Cricetulus griseus: one gene and its partners. The protein of the gene in region 3 purifies or fractionates together with the protein of the main gene of each other region. This does not show direct contact. Links are inferred from orthologs where the notes say so. Each region holds a gene or a part of one and is shown on either strand. Other genes may lie near its edges. The genes, in order: Fgfr1, Erbb2 and Cd44.

Evidence for each region.
Region 1: the proteins of Cd44 (region 3) and Fgfr1 purify together in Homo sapiens (affinity purification with mass spectrometry; 3 studies listed by BioGRID and IntAct, counting the BioPlex papers as one, with this or other methods). This does not show direct contact. The link is inferred for Cricetulus griseus from reciprocal best matches to the Homo sapiens genes CD44 and FGFR1.
Region 2: the proteins of Cd44 (region 3) and Erbb2 purify together in Homo sapiens (affinity purification with western blotting; 3 studies listed by BioGRID and IntAct, with this or other methods). This does not show direct contact. The link is inferred for Cricetulus griseus from reciprocal best matches to the Homo sapiens genes CD44 and ERBB2.

The regions. Positions count from the first base shown.
Region 1 is NW_023276807.1:58,202,587-58,206,318, reverse strand, and holds the end of Fgfr1 (fibroblast growth factor receptor 1), read left to right. Parts: coding exon 1-69; intron 70-399; coding exon 400-537; intron 538-827; coding exon 828-933; intron 934-1,037; coding exon 1,038-1,214; 3' UTR 1,215-3,191; downstream 3,192-3,732. UniProt on the Homo sapiens protein: Tyrosine-protein kinase that acts as a cell-surface receptor for fibroblast growth factors and plays an essential role in the regulation of embryonic development, cell proliferation, differentiation and migration.
Region 2 is NC_048600.1:111,557,457-111,561,099, forward strand, and holds part of Erbb2 (receptor tyrosine-protein kinase erbB-2), read left to right. Parts: intron 1-132; coding exon 133-271; intron 272-354; coding exon 355-477; intron 478-658; coding exon 659-757; intron 758-982; coding exon 983-1,168; intron 1,169-1,304; coding exon 1,305-1,460; intron 1,461-1,579; coding exon 1,580-1,655; intron 1,656-1,884; coding exon 1,885-2,031; intron 2,032-2,414; coding exon 2,415-2,512; intron 2,513-2,706; coding exon 2,707-2,895; intron 2,896-3,124; coding exon 3,125-3,377; intron 3,378-3,507; coding exon 3,508-3,643. UniProt on the Homo sapiens protein: Protein tyrosine kinase that is part of several cell surface receptor complexes, but that apparently needs a coreceptor for ligand binding. Essential component of a neuregulin-receptor complex, although neuregulins do not interact with it alone.
Region 3 is NC_048599.1:74,762,670-74,767,034, forward strand, and holds the start of Cd44 (CD44 antigen), read left to right. Parts: upstream 1-1,511; 5' UTR 1,512-1,746; coding exon 1,747-1,819; intron 1,820-4,365. UniProt on the Homo sapiens protein: Cell-surface receptor that plays a role in cell-cell interactions, cell adhesion and migration, helping them to sense and respond to changes in the tissue microenvironment.

The DNA of each region.
Region 1 (3,732 bases), on a different chromosome or scaffold from region 3:
CCGGCTGCCTGTGAAGTGGATGGCACCCGAGGCCTTGTTTGACCGGATCTACACCCACCAGAGTGACGTGTGAGTTTGAAATACACAATTACCCGGGATATGCTGGGGAAAGAATACTAGCAGTCTTGCATCTCTAGACTGCTGAGAATTTCTTTCCATCATTGGGTGGGGAAGGGCAATGTCTTGTCCCGTGAACATGTTTCAGCCTTTTTTTTGCATTGCCCCTTGCTGCCCCCTTGTCTCCTGTGCCCTGTCTCCTGAACTTAAGGGCTGTGCTGGGGGTGGAGAGGTTCAAGATGAGCACCTGCCCTGCTGACTTCTCAAGAGGACATAGAAAAGAAACCCTAGGGCAGCCTGGCCCTGTGCCGTAAGTCACAGTGGCACCATGTTCTCCTGTAGGTGGTCTTTTGGGGTGCTCTTGTGGGAGATCTTCACTCTGGGTGGCTCCCCATACCCTGGTGTGCCTGTGGAAGAGCTCTTCAAGCTGCTGAAGGAGGGTCATCGGATGGACAAGCCCACTAACTGTACCAATGAGCTGTAAGCATGAATTGGGGGAAAGACTGTGGGGGAAGGCCTGCTGGTAGTTGGCACCATTGAATCCACCGCTGGCAAGCTGGGTCATATGTTGAGGAAATCAGGAAGGGCTCCTTAGGTGGCGGCTCATGGGAGGTTCTTGAAGTCCTCGGGCTCTGAAGGAAGTGGGAGCATGGAGGGCAGATAATGAAACTGTGTGTTTGGAGGGAGCAGCCTCCCGAGTCATGCCGCCCCTGCCCTCTGGCCCAGCTCTGCTGTTGCCTTCCATCTTTGACCTCACTGTCCTGCTTCAGGTACATGATGATGCGGGACTGCTGGCACGCAGTACCCTCTCAGAGGCCCACTTTCAAGCAGCTGGTGGAAGACCTGGACCGCATTGTGGCCTTGACCTCCAACCAGGTAGAGCTACTCTGGGCTGAAACTTGAGCGGTCATCACATAGGCACTAAGGGGACCCTGCCATAAGAAGGTTTGTGTGCCATCTATCCTTTCCTTCTGTCACAGGAATATCTGGACCTGTCGATGCCTCTGGACCAGTACTCTCCCAGCTTTCCCGACACACGGAGCTCTACCTGCTCTTCAGGGGAGGACTCTGTCTTCTCTCATGAGCCGTTGCCTGAGGAACCCTGTCTGCCCCGACACCCGACCCAGCTTGCCAATGGTGGACTCAAAAGACGCTGACTTCCCCGGCCTTTCCCCAATTTCGTCGTCACCTGTGCCCCTCACCCGTAATTCCCTGCGGGACACACTGCCTTTCCCCTTCTCCTTTGCTGCTGGCAAGAGCCAGTGTGTACCTGAGGCCTTCCTGTGAGGCCTACCCCATCGTCACTCCCCACCCCGCCCCAGATCCCTCTTCCTCTTCTCAACCGGCCATGTGAGAAGGGAGTCAAGAGGCAGGTACTTGCTGGTAGCCACTTCCTCCTTCCCAGGTGTTGGACCAAGACCCATCCTGCTGCCTGGTACTCCTTGGAGGCCTGGGGAGTAGAAGCAAGTGGAACAGGTGTGCAAGCAAGAGCTCTCTGGAGTGTTCTGGTTGACTCATTGGCCTCCTGTGTTCTGGTGGCAGCAGCCTTGTGGCTACTGAAGCAATGGGGTTTGTTTCTGTTCGGGCCTTAACTGAAGGCAGTCTCTGCTTCAGATGGGGGGTATCAGTGGCTTCTTAATTCCAATACTAATTTGCTTTGCTGACCAAATACCTGGTACCAGAAGAGAGTGAGGCAGAGATCGGGGGCAGCGATGTGGCCCTGGGGCTGAGCCCTAGACTCGGGGCTCTGTACATAGCTATGAAGAAAACACAAAGTGTATAAATCTGAGTATATATTTACATGTCTTTTTAAAAGGGCCGTTACTAGAGATTTACCCGTTGGGTGAGATGCTCCTGGTGGCTGGGAGGCATCCATTGCTATATATTAAAAACAAAAACAAAAACAAAAAAAAAAAAAGGAAAATGTTTTTTAAAAGGTCATATATTTTTTGCTACTTTTGCTGTTTTATTTTTTTAAATTATGTTTTAGACCTATTTTCAGTTTAGGTCCCTCAATAAAAATTGCTGCTGCTTCATTTTTATCCTGGGCGTGTGAAAAGGGAGCAGATGTCCCCTGCAAAAGAGGGAGACAGGGACTAAGGGGCCATGAGCTGTTGGCACTGTGTGATTTCTATATTTCCCTGACCTCCCAGACCCTTCTATCTCTGATGATTTGGGAAAGACAGGGAAAGAAGACCAAAGTAACGGAGGGCAGAGAACCAAGACTAAGAGCTTGTTCCCTCTGATCATAGATTGTTTCCTCAGAGGAGATGAGACTAGCCAACGGTAGAACAAACCATACAGAGACTCAAAGCCCAAACCCTGTGTGGGTGCGCCTTTGCATCTATGAGAGATGCAAAGCTAGTCTTGTCTTAACCAACCTACTCTCCATTTCCTTTCCCATTCCTATCCTGCCCTTCCTGAGTCCTGTTACCAGGTTGCATTTGTTGTGACTATCCCTGATCTTGGTTTGTAGTTTTTCCTGTACAAACTCCACCCACCCCTCAGGAAAGGAAAAACAATCTTCTTTGGTTTGGGTCTGCTTGGAGACTTACTCCTGCCACCTGCTGGTGGTTATTGTCCTCTTCAGGAGGCACCTTATCATCTTACTCAGACCAGCGCCGCTCTATTCTTAGTGCTTACTGCTGGGTCACTGGGGAATACAAGACAATTCAATATGGCCTCATCCTGCAGGGGTTAGGGCTGCCTCTTTAAATACATTCTGAACGGGGTGTTTTTGGTGGCTGTGGTTTTGGTCATCATCATAGAGTTGTTATCATTGTTTCCCTCTGTAAACCTGTAACTATCAAAGTATTACAAGTGTTTTCTTGTGCTGAAAGGTATAATTCGGCGAAGAGGACCAGGGAATGAATTTTAGCTCAGAATCATCTGCTTAGAGACCATATCATAGTGTCGTTTTCCTTGTTAAAACAGTGACCATAATTTCTGCCTCAGCGCTGCTTGACTCAATGCTGTGTGGATGGATGGGAGGAGAATCTACGGAGTGCTTTGTATGACTCAAGGAAAGGTGCTAGGGTATATAAGGCACTGAAGTCCTTGCTGTTGCTATTCAAATTGCCCACAAATATCCCCTGAGGCAGGGATGGCTATCAAATAAAACATAGTGAAATTGACCTGAAAGAAAATGAAATGGCTATTTTACTTAGGTGACCAGATTGAGTCTCTTGGGAAAGGGAATCCAGCTTATATAATGAAGATGTGCTGTCAAAGTACTGCATCTGTCTGGTTTCCTGGGGGTTAAAATATGGCCAAGGCATCAATCAATACTGCCTTTCAATCCTTTCTAATTGCCAGAGGCTAGAGATCATCAGTCCCTTGGCTCTGTTAATGTAATATATTGATTTCAGGTAAGTAAGATTGAGCATAGATGAAGTAAGAAATGTGCCTTAATGGTAATGAAGTCTGTCTATCAGCTGCCACCGGGTGGAGCCAGCAACCTAAAATCCCCCCACCATATTAGGTAGTGGGCCACTTTGCTCTGAAGTAACAGACCTACCTTCCATTTGGAATCCTTGGCCTGGATTTAGTATTCTAAAACTCTGGACGTGACCAATATGGCTTGTGCAGAATTAGACCTGTTACAAGTGCTGGGTGATACTATTAAATAAAATGCCACCAACAACTATTATGGCAGACTCCTGTGTAAGGTGTGAG
Region 2 (3,643 bases), on a different chromosome or scaffold from region 3:
AAAGGCATGTGCCACCTTGCCCGACTTCCCATGATATTTTTGAGCCAAGGCACATTCCTGTCCCTTCATGGGGTCTCTTCAAATTTCCTCCCGAGACTAGTCCTAATCTCTGATTCTGGGCTCTGCTTTCAGCCCAGCGACGTCCATCATCGCAACCGTGGTGGGTATCCTGTTGTTCCTGGTCATAGGGGTGGTTGTTGGAATCCTAATCAAGAGAAGACGGCAGAAGATCCGAAAGTATACAATGCGTAGGCTGCTGCAGGAAACTGAGGTGAGGTGCCGTGAGGGCCTCCTAGCGCCGCACCCCCCATCTGTAGCTTGCTTGGCACTCACCACGCCACCCTCTCACTCCAGCTAGTGGAGCCGCTGACGCCCAGCGGAGCCATGCCCAACCAGGCTCAGATGCGGATCCTAAAAGAGACTGAGCTAAGGAAGGTGAAGGTGCTTGGGTCCGGAGCTTTCGGCACTGTCTACAAGGTCAGGAGGGACCAGGCTCTGGCATGAGTGGATCTGGAGGAGGGGCTGTGCCTGAGGAGCATGGTCAAGACAGAGGACTGGACCAGGCTGGAGGGTGGGGAAGGCTGCTCATCAGTGACTTCTTGGGGACCAGCAGGATCTGGACCACAGGCCTGATTCAAGCCCATTTCTTTCTGCTCAGGGCATCTGGATCCCAGATGGGGAGAATGTGAAAATCCCCGTGGCCATCAAGGTGTTGAGGGAAAACACATCCCCTAAAGCTAACAAAGAAATCCTAGATGTAAGCCGGTCACCTTCTCCACTGGGACTTGTGAGACGCCCCCTAGCTGTAGACCTGGGCTGCCTTCTCTTGATGAGGGTTTGGGATGGAGGTCCTAAACCTTGATTCTTACTCTTCCTGGTCTGCAGGCCCTGCAGGGATGGGGGCGGGTCTCCAGGAGGGGAGTATGGTGGGTGGGAGGGAGTAGGTGGTTTCCTGTATCCCTCAGTGTATGCTTGCCTGCAGGAAGCATATGTGATGGCTGGTGTGGGTTCTCCGTATGTGTCCCGCCTCCTGGGCATCTGCCTGACATCCACAGTGCAGCTGGTAACACAGCTCATGCCCTATGGCTGCCTTCTGGACCATGTCCGAGAACATCGAGGTCGCCTGGGCTCCCAGGACCTGCTCAACTGGTGTGTTCAGATTGCCAAGGTATGTGCTTGGGGGCTTCTGACTCTGCAGGTCCTTTGGGTGCAAGTCCCTACCCTCATTTGGGGCCAGAAAAGGATGGGGAATGCCGATAAGGTGAGATACAGACTCAGGTTCCACACTGATGCCCATTTTTCAGGGGATGAGCTACCTGGAGGATGTACGGCTCGTGCACAGGGACCTGGCTGCCCGGAATGTGCTGGTCAAGAGTCCCAACCACGTCAAGATTACAGACTTCGGGCTGGCACGGCTGCTGGACATTGATGAGACAGAGTACCATGCAGATGGGGGCAAGGTTGGAGGAGGGCGGGGTTGGGGTGAGGTGGGTGGGGTGGTATCCGCCCATTGGGAGAGCTTTGAGAAGGGTCACCTCCCTACCACACCCATTCAGGATTTTTTGCTCTGCGTTCCCAGGTGCCCATCAAATGGATGGCATTGGAATCCATTCTTCGACGGCGGTTCACCCATCAGAGTGACGTGTGGAGCTATGGTGTGTGGAGATGGTGATGGGGAGGGCTGGATAGAAGCCATGGCAGGGTGGGATATGGGTACAGAAATGAGGGTGGAGATGGGGGGTGGCTGATGTCCAGCCTGTGGGGGTCTGTGCCCACCTGGAGTATGAAGCGACCAGGCCGATGCTACCTTTTGGCACAGCCTCTCCCCTTGTATGCGCATCTAAGGATCCTGTTCCCCCAACTCCTGATGCCTGTCTGTCTTAGGTGTGACTGTGTGGGAGCTGATGACTTTTGGGGCCAAACCTTATGATGGGATCCCAGCCCGGGAGATACCTGACTTGCTGGAGAAGGGAGAACGCTTGCCTCAGCCTCCAATCTGCACTATCGATGTCTACATGATTATGGTCAAATGTGCGTGGTGGGAGGGGCCGAACCTCAGGTGTAGCGGAAGGGTGGTCTGACCTGTGTGTGGGGGGGGCGGGAGTGAGATGTGAATGGCCTCGGGTGTCCTTGAAGGAACCTCGAAAGGTGCTTCATCCCATTCACAGTAGATGTCCTAGCTGCTCGGGACAACGGCTGTCTAGAGGAGAGAGGCCAGCTTAAAGGGGAAACTAGGAAAAATGCTCCAGGGCTCTGGCTCAGGATCCAGGGTCCACTTGTGCTCCTCTGCTATGTGAGGACTTTGGGCTCAGCCAGGGTTGTCTAGGCCAGACTGAAGAGGAGCAGGAAGGGGCTGCACAGCTGGTCCTGAGCCTGGTCCTGGGACAAGGATGCTGAGCTCTCTCTCACCGTAGGTTGGATGATAGATTCTGAATGTCGCCCGAGATTCCGGGAGTTGGTGTCAGAATTCTCCCGCATGGCGAGGGACCCCCAGCGCTTTGTGGTCATCCAGGTACTGGGCCTTCTGACCTCATCCCTACCCTAACAGTGTCCTCCCTCCTGCAGACAGGAGAGGGAGGGCACACCTGGATGCCAAGTCCCCCAGCCCAGCCAGCCCCCACCTTTAGTCTAAGCTTGGTGAACCTTTCTTGGGAACTAACGCTAGGCTGGGGAAGGGCTGTCACTTTGTGTCTCCTTCCTCCCTAGAATGAGGACTTGGGCCCGTCCAGCCCCTTGGACAGTACCTTTTACCGTTCACTGCTGGAGGATGAGGACATGGGGGACCTGGTGGATGCGGAAGAGTATCTGGTCCCCCAGCAGGGGTTCTTCTGCCCAGACCCTGCCCCAGGCACCGGGAGCACAGCCCACCGGAGGCACCGCAGCTCATCCACCAGGGTCAGTGCCCATCTTAGAACACCAGGGTCCCTTCCCTTGACTGCTCCCCCACATTCACACTTCCTTAAGATCCCATTACCATTACTGCCTTCCAACCCTTGGGACTCCATTGCCTCCATAATGATTCCAAGGTGACCTGTGTTTTTCCTCCTGGGACCCTGTCATTTCCCCCCCAAGGTCCCCTCCCAGATCTTTGAGTAACTTCCATCATGACCCTCTCTTACTCCAGAGTGGAGGAGGCGAGCTGACACTGGGCCTGGAGCCCTCAGAAGAAGAGCCCCCCAGGTCTCCACTGGCTCCCTCGGAAGGGGCTGGCTCCGATGTGTTTGATGGTGAACTGGGAATGGGGGTTAGCAAAGGGCCGCAGAGCATCTCTCCACATGACCTCAGCCCTCTACAGCGGTACAGCGAGGATCCCACGTTACCCCCGCCCACCGAGACTGACGGCTACGTTGCTCCCCTGGCCTGCAGCCCCCAGCCCGGTATGGAATCCAGGCCTGAGAGACTGGGAGGAGGGGAGTTGAGACCCCTCAGGCTACACCCACTGAGAGGTAATGGTGGGGCAGGGAAATCCCGTTTCCTTTCCCTAACAGTTCTTCTTCTCTCCTGCAGAATATGTGAACCAGCCAGAGGTGCGGCCTCAGCCTCCCTTGGCCCCCGAGGGCCCTCTGCCTCCTGTGCGGCCTTCTGGTGCTACTCTAGAAAGACCCAAGACTCTCTCTCCTGGGAAGAATGGGGTTGTCAAAGA
Region 3 (4,365 bases):
AGGGTAGAGGACTATTTGCATGAGTCACCATGTGAGTTCCAAGGATTGAACTTGGGTCACATGCTTGGTGGTAAGCACTTTACCACTGAGCCATCTTTCCAGGCCTGCCTCTATTTTACAGTACATTTCATATTGTAAGCAGCAGCTGGCTTGTGACTGTAAACCAGTGCCTGGAGACAAACAAGGTTTGGCTTATCTTGATACCCTTGGGCACTCATTACATGTTTTATGAATAAATGGATGGACAGGTGGCTGGGTGCATTTCTCTCACCTTTTCAGTTTATTTCAATGAATCCCAAAATATTACTTTCCCTCAGAAATTCTGCTATGATTTTTTCAGGGTCCTGCCACAGGCATGTTTTCCATGCATCTCATTCAGCAAAGATGTTCACTTCAGATTCACTTTCAGTAGTTCACATTAAAAATAAACACTGCTTTTGATGTCCTAATTGTGACTCACAGGGTATTAGAGAAGATAGGGAATTGTGATTTAAAATACGATTTCCCCCTGCTTTCGAAAAGCCCTGAAATATTTCCCTTGAAGGATATGGCAATGCGCACCCCTCTTTGAGATTTCTCAGGGAAGAAATAAATGGCAGTGTATTAAAGTTTGCAGCAAAGAGGGCATAAATGCAAACAAGAAAGAAGTGACAAATGTGTAAGTGGATATGAAGCTGGACAAAATGATGGAACGGGACCGTGTACAAGCATCAGCATGTTGGGGGATGGGTGGGGAAGACGGCGGAGGGAGGTGAGCTTGGGATTTATGGGATGCTGGATGAAAAGTTGTGCTATAGATAAATGGAAGGCTTGGTGATGGATGGGGTATGACTAGGTTAGTGCATATGAAGGAAGACAGGGGAATGGGGGAATCCCAGAAGGATTTAAGGAACTGGTAGGTTAATTAGTTAATTTGAGATCATGAATGAAGTGTGTTTGTGGGTGGGTGGAAGGACAGACAGCCTCCTGGCATGGGAGGTTGTCAGCATGGACTTGTAGAGTCCAATATGACCCCCAAGGGGTCAGATATGATCCCCATAACTGGTCATCGCTAGGTTTCCCTGAGCAAAGAGCCACTGAGAATTTTGAACTTCTCTCAGAGGGAAAGACGAGTGGGCACTCCCACAAATTCCCCACTTTTCAAATCCACCCTGGCTTGGAAGGCACTGTCCTCTCTCCCAGCAGGGTCTCCCTCTTGTCTCAGCTCCTCCCTAGGAGACATCCAGCTTCCTGGGAAACCTAGACAGTCATTCTCCAGCCAGGTTCCCAGAAGTTTAGCGGCAAAGGAGAGACCTGAGGCTGAACTCAGAGGGGTGAGGTCACAGGACTCAGTCATTCTCCTTGCCCCAGGCAATGATCCCCAAAGGCAGGAGGGCTGGCCAGAGAAGGAAACCTGTGGAGTGGCCTGGGGGTGGGAGGTGGGCAGACAGGGGCGGCAGCAATTCTCAGCTGCCCGGGAGAGTAGGGCAGGGTCTCCGAGTCAGCAGCGAAAGCAGACTGGTGTATCTTTAAACCTCCGTTGGCTGCCTAGTCACAGCCCCCTCGCTTTGGGTGTGTCCTTCGCGCGCTCCCTCCCTCTTAGGTCACTCTTTCAAAGCCTGGAATAAAAACGGCAGCCAACTTCCGAGGCGGCCTCATTGCCTAGCGGCCCCCAGCCTGTGACAGGTTCCATCCATCCTCCTTGCCCCAGCTCCCTGCGACCCTCTTTAAGAGGCGACTAGATTCCTGGGTTCTATCCCGCACACCATGGACAAGTTTTGGTGGCACGCAGCTTGGGGACTCTGCCTCTTGCCGCTGAGCCTGGCGCAACAGCAGATCGGTGAGTGGCCCTAGCCTGGGCAGCGGGGATGTGAACGCAGAGTGCTCACTCCAGCAGAACGGCCCCTGGGCTGACCCCCGGGGAGGAAATAAAGTGAAGTGGGCTCAGCAAAGCAAAGCTGGGTTTTGAGGCTACACAGTTTTTGAGGGTTGCTTCTTGGGATGCGCCGCTTTGGTGAAAGGAAAAGAGAAAGGGAGAAGAAAGTTGGCTGGGCAGGTTGCCCGCCGCAGATTTTGGGCGAGGTCGCTGGCGCTTGCCGGAGCACATGGCGCAAAAGTAACTGTACTCTTGGACACGCAGCCGGTGTCCGGACTAACAGGCTCGGGTGCCCAAGGGCTCCGCAAGCAGGGCCAGGCTTGTCGTGGGTGACAGGGCAGAGCCAGGGACTGGGGCAGAGCAGTAGCGGAGATCTCTAGAGTAGTCCTTAAGGTGGCCACAGAGTTGTAAGTCAGAGAGCCTGCAATGAGCTTTTCAGAAAGGAGCCCCAGAAAACTAAAGACAGAGAACCTCGGCTTAGATTGATTTTGAGGGCTTTTACAGTCTGCTTTGGTCACCAACTGCTTTAGTTTGTGGGAACTTGAACCGGCGCTGTGTTCAGGCTCTGAGAGCCCAAGAGGTTCCAGCCTGGGCCAAGGAGGGCACATAACAGAAGCAATGATTTGACCAGCTGTCTAACGCTATGGTCCCCTGGTTCTGCCAGTCTTGGCAAAATCAAAAAGCAACACGGCTCATATTCGATGCCTGGCAGCTTCAGAGTAAGAGGGGACCTGTATCAGGGTAACACACGAACTTTAGTGCAGAGACCTTAACATCCCATCTAAATGAAGTTGGTGACTTTGGTGGCTGTGGAGGGGAGGAGCTGGGGTCAGGTGTTCAGTATGGCTCAATTCCAAGCATTCCCTTCCTTTGTCTATATATGAACAGATAATTCCATGAACCCTTTGTTTAGCACCAGCACAGTTAATTTTTTTTTAAAGAAGTGTCAGCTAGGTTAAGTCAGCTCAGCCTACAGTGAGTTCCTCTCAGCAAGAATTTATTAAACCCAGGTTTTTTTTTGGGAGGGGGTGGCCAACATGGGGATTTTAGGTATGCCAGGTAGAGATCATAAGTTTTGAATTCTGATGCAGAAGTAATACAAATAATAAGAAGAATAGCAACATGACTCTATTGGCCGTTTATTTGTACCCTTTTGCTGTGCCAGGATCGATGTTAGGTATTTCACATATGCTATCACATTTTATCCTCCTGGTGATTTGGTGAGAAGTGTTCAGGTATCAAGTTTTTTGTTTCTTTGTTTGTTTGCTTTTTTGGTAGGGAAACAGGCTCAGAGAGGTTAGGTAACTCCTCATATTCACACAGCAAGGAGTGGTGCTGGGTATGAACTCAGGTTCATTAAATTCCATAGCTTAGACTGTCATGGAATATCTGAACACATGTTCCGGACAAAGCCAAAAGACTTCAGGGAAAGAGGCATTCTGGCCCGCTAAAGCTACAGAGGAAGCTTTCAAAGGGAATCAGAGCTCCAAGGGGCCCTTGGAGGTCAGAAACAGTCAGGATGGGTGGGAGAAGGGCAGGGAGAGGCCTGGACCTAGAGTCCAAGGAGAGGAGAAAGGTTGGACATCCACACCTTTTGCTGTGGCTGAGAAGCTGAGCTTCTGTGTTTTCCTAGATTGTCTTCCGGCTGTTCAAAAAAGCCTACTCCCAGGTCTTTTGGATCCCTTGTGCTCCCTGGGAGTCAGGTCCTAGAGACCAGCAAGCTCTCTCCTGCCTTGGGGTTTTCACCTTCCTGTTGTATCTTGTGGCACCAGGAGAGGCAGGGCAGAGGGCCCCTAGTAGTGCCTGCCTGGTTTTCATGCCCTTGTAAAACTGTTGCAAAGGAACCGAGACTCGGAAATGAGATGTGACTTAGAGGATGTGGGTCTGGGTGGGCAGAGCCTGAGGAGAAAGGGCGGGGCAGAGAAGAGAGGCATCCGAGTTGCCCCATTCTGGTAGTGACTGGTTTTAGGAGATGAAGAAGCTATGAGATTGGGCAAAAGTTTTGCTGGGCAGGGGCGGAGTGACAGAAGAAACTGTCCAGTGTTATATCAGAAGTCAAAAAGTAGAAACATGTTCTGAGGTAGCCCAGCGACCCTAGGTACTCTGTGCAATGCAGGAGAAAGGGACCCTGGACAGAAGGGAATGAGCCTCCATGTGCTCATGTCCTTTCCTCCATGGCCAGAGAACATTGCTAGGAAATTGCATTTCCATTGTTGAGAAAGAGGGGTGCATTTGAGAATCTTGGGGCTCGGGAGCCGAAGGTGTCTCTCTGCTCACTCAGAGCATTCTGGATACTTCTTTCCATTAGCAGTTAGGGTCCTGGCTGAGTCTTCCCATGTGAAGAAATAAGGACGTGAGATCCATCCCCACTGAAGTTAGACTTGATTCATTCTGTTATTCCCCTGCTCACATAGGACATCTACTTCCTTCCAAAGTAGTGATGAGCTGATGTGCTGGGGACTCTGGCAGCTGAGGGAAAAAGTTTCTATTTTCTGCCAACTTCCCCCTAC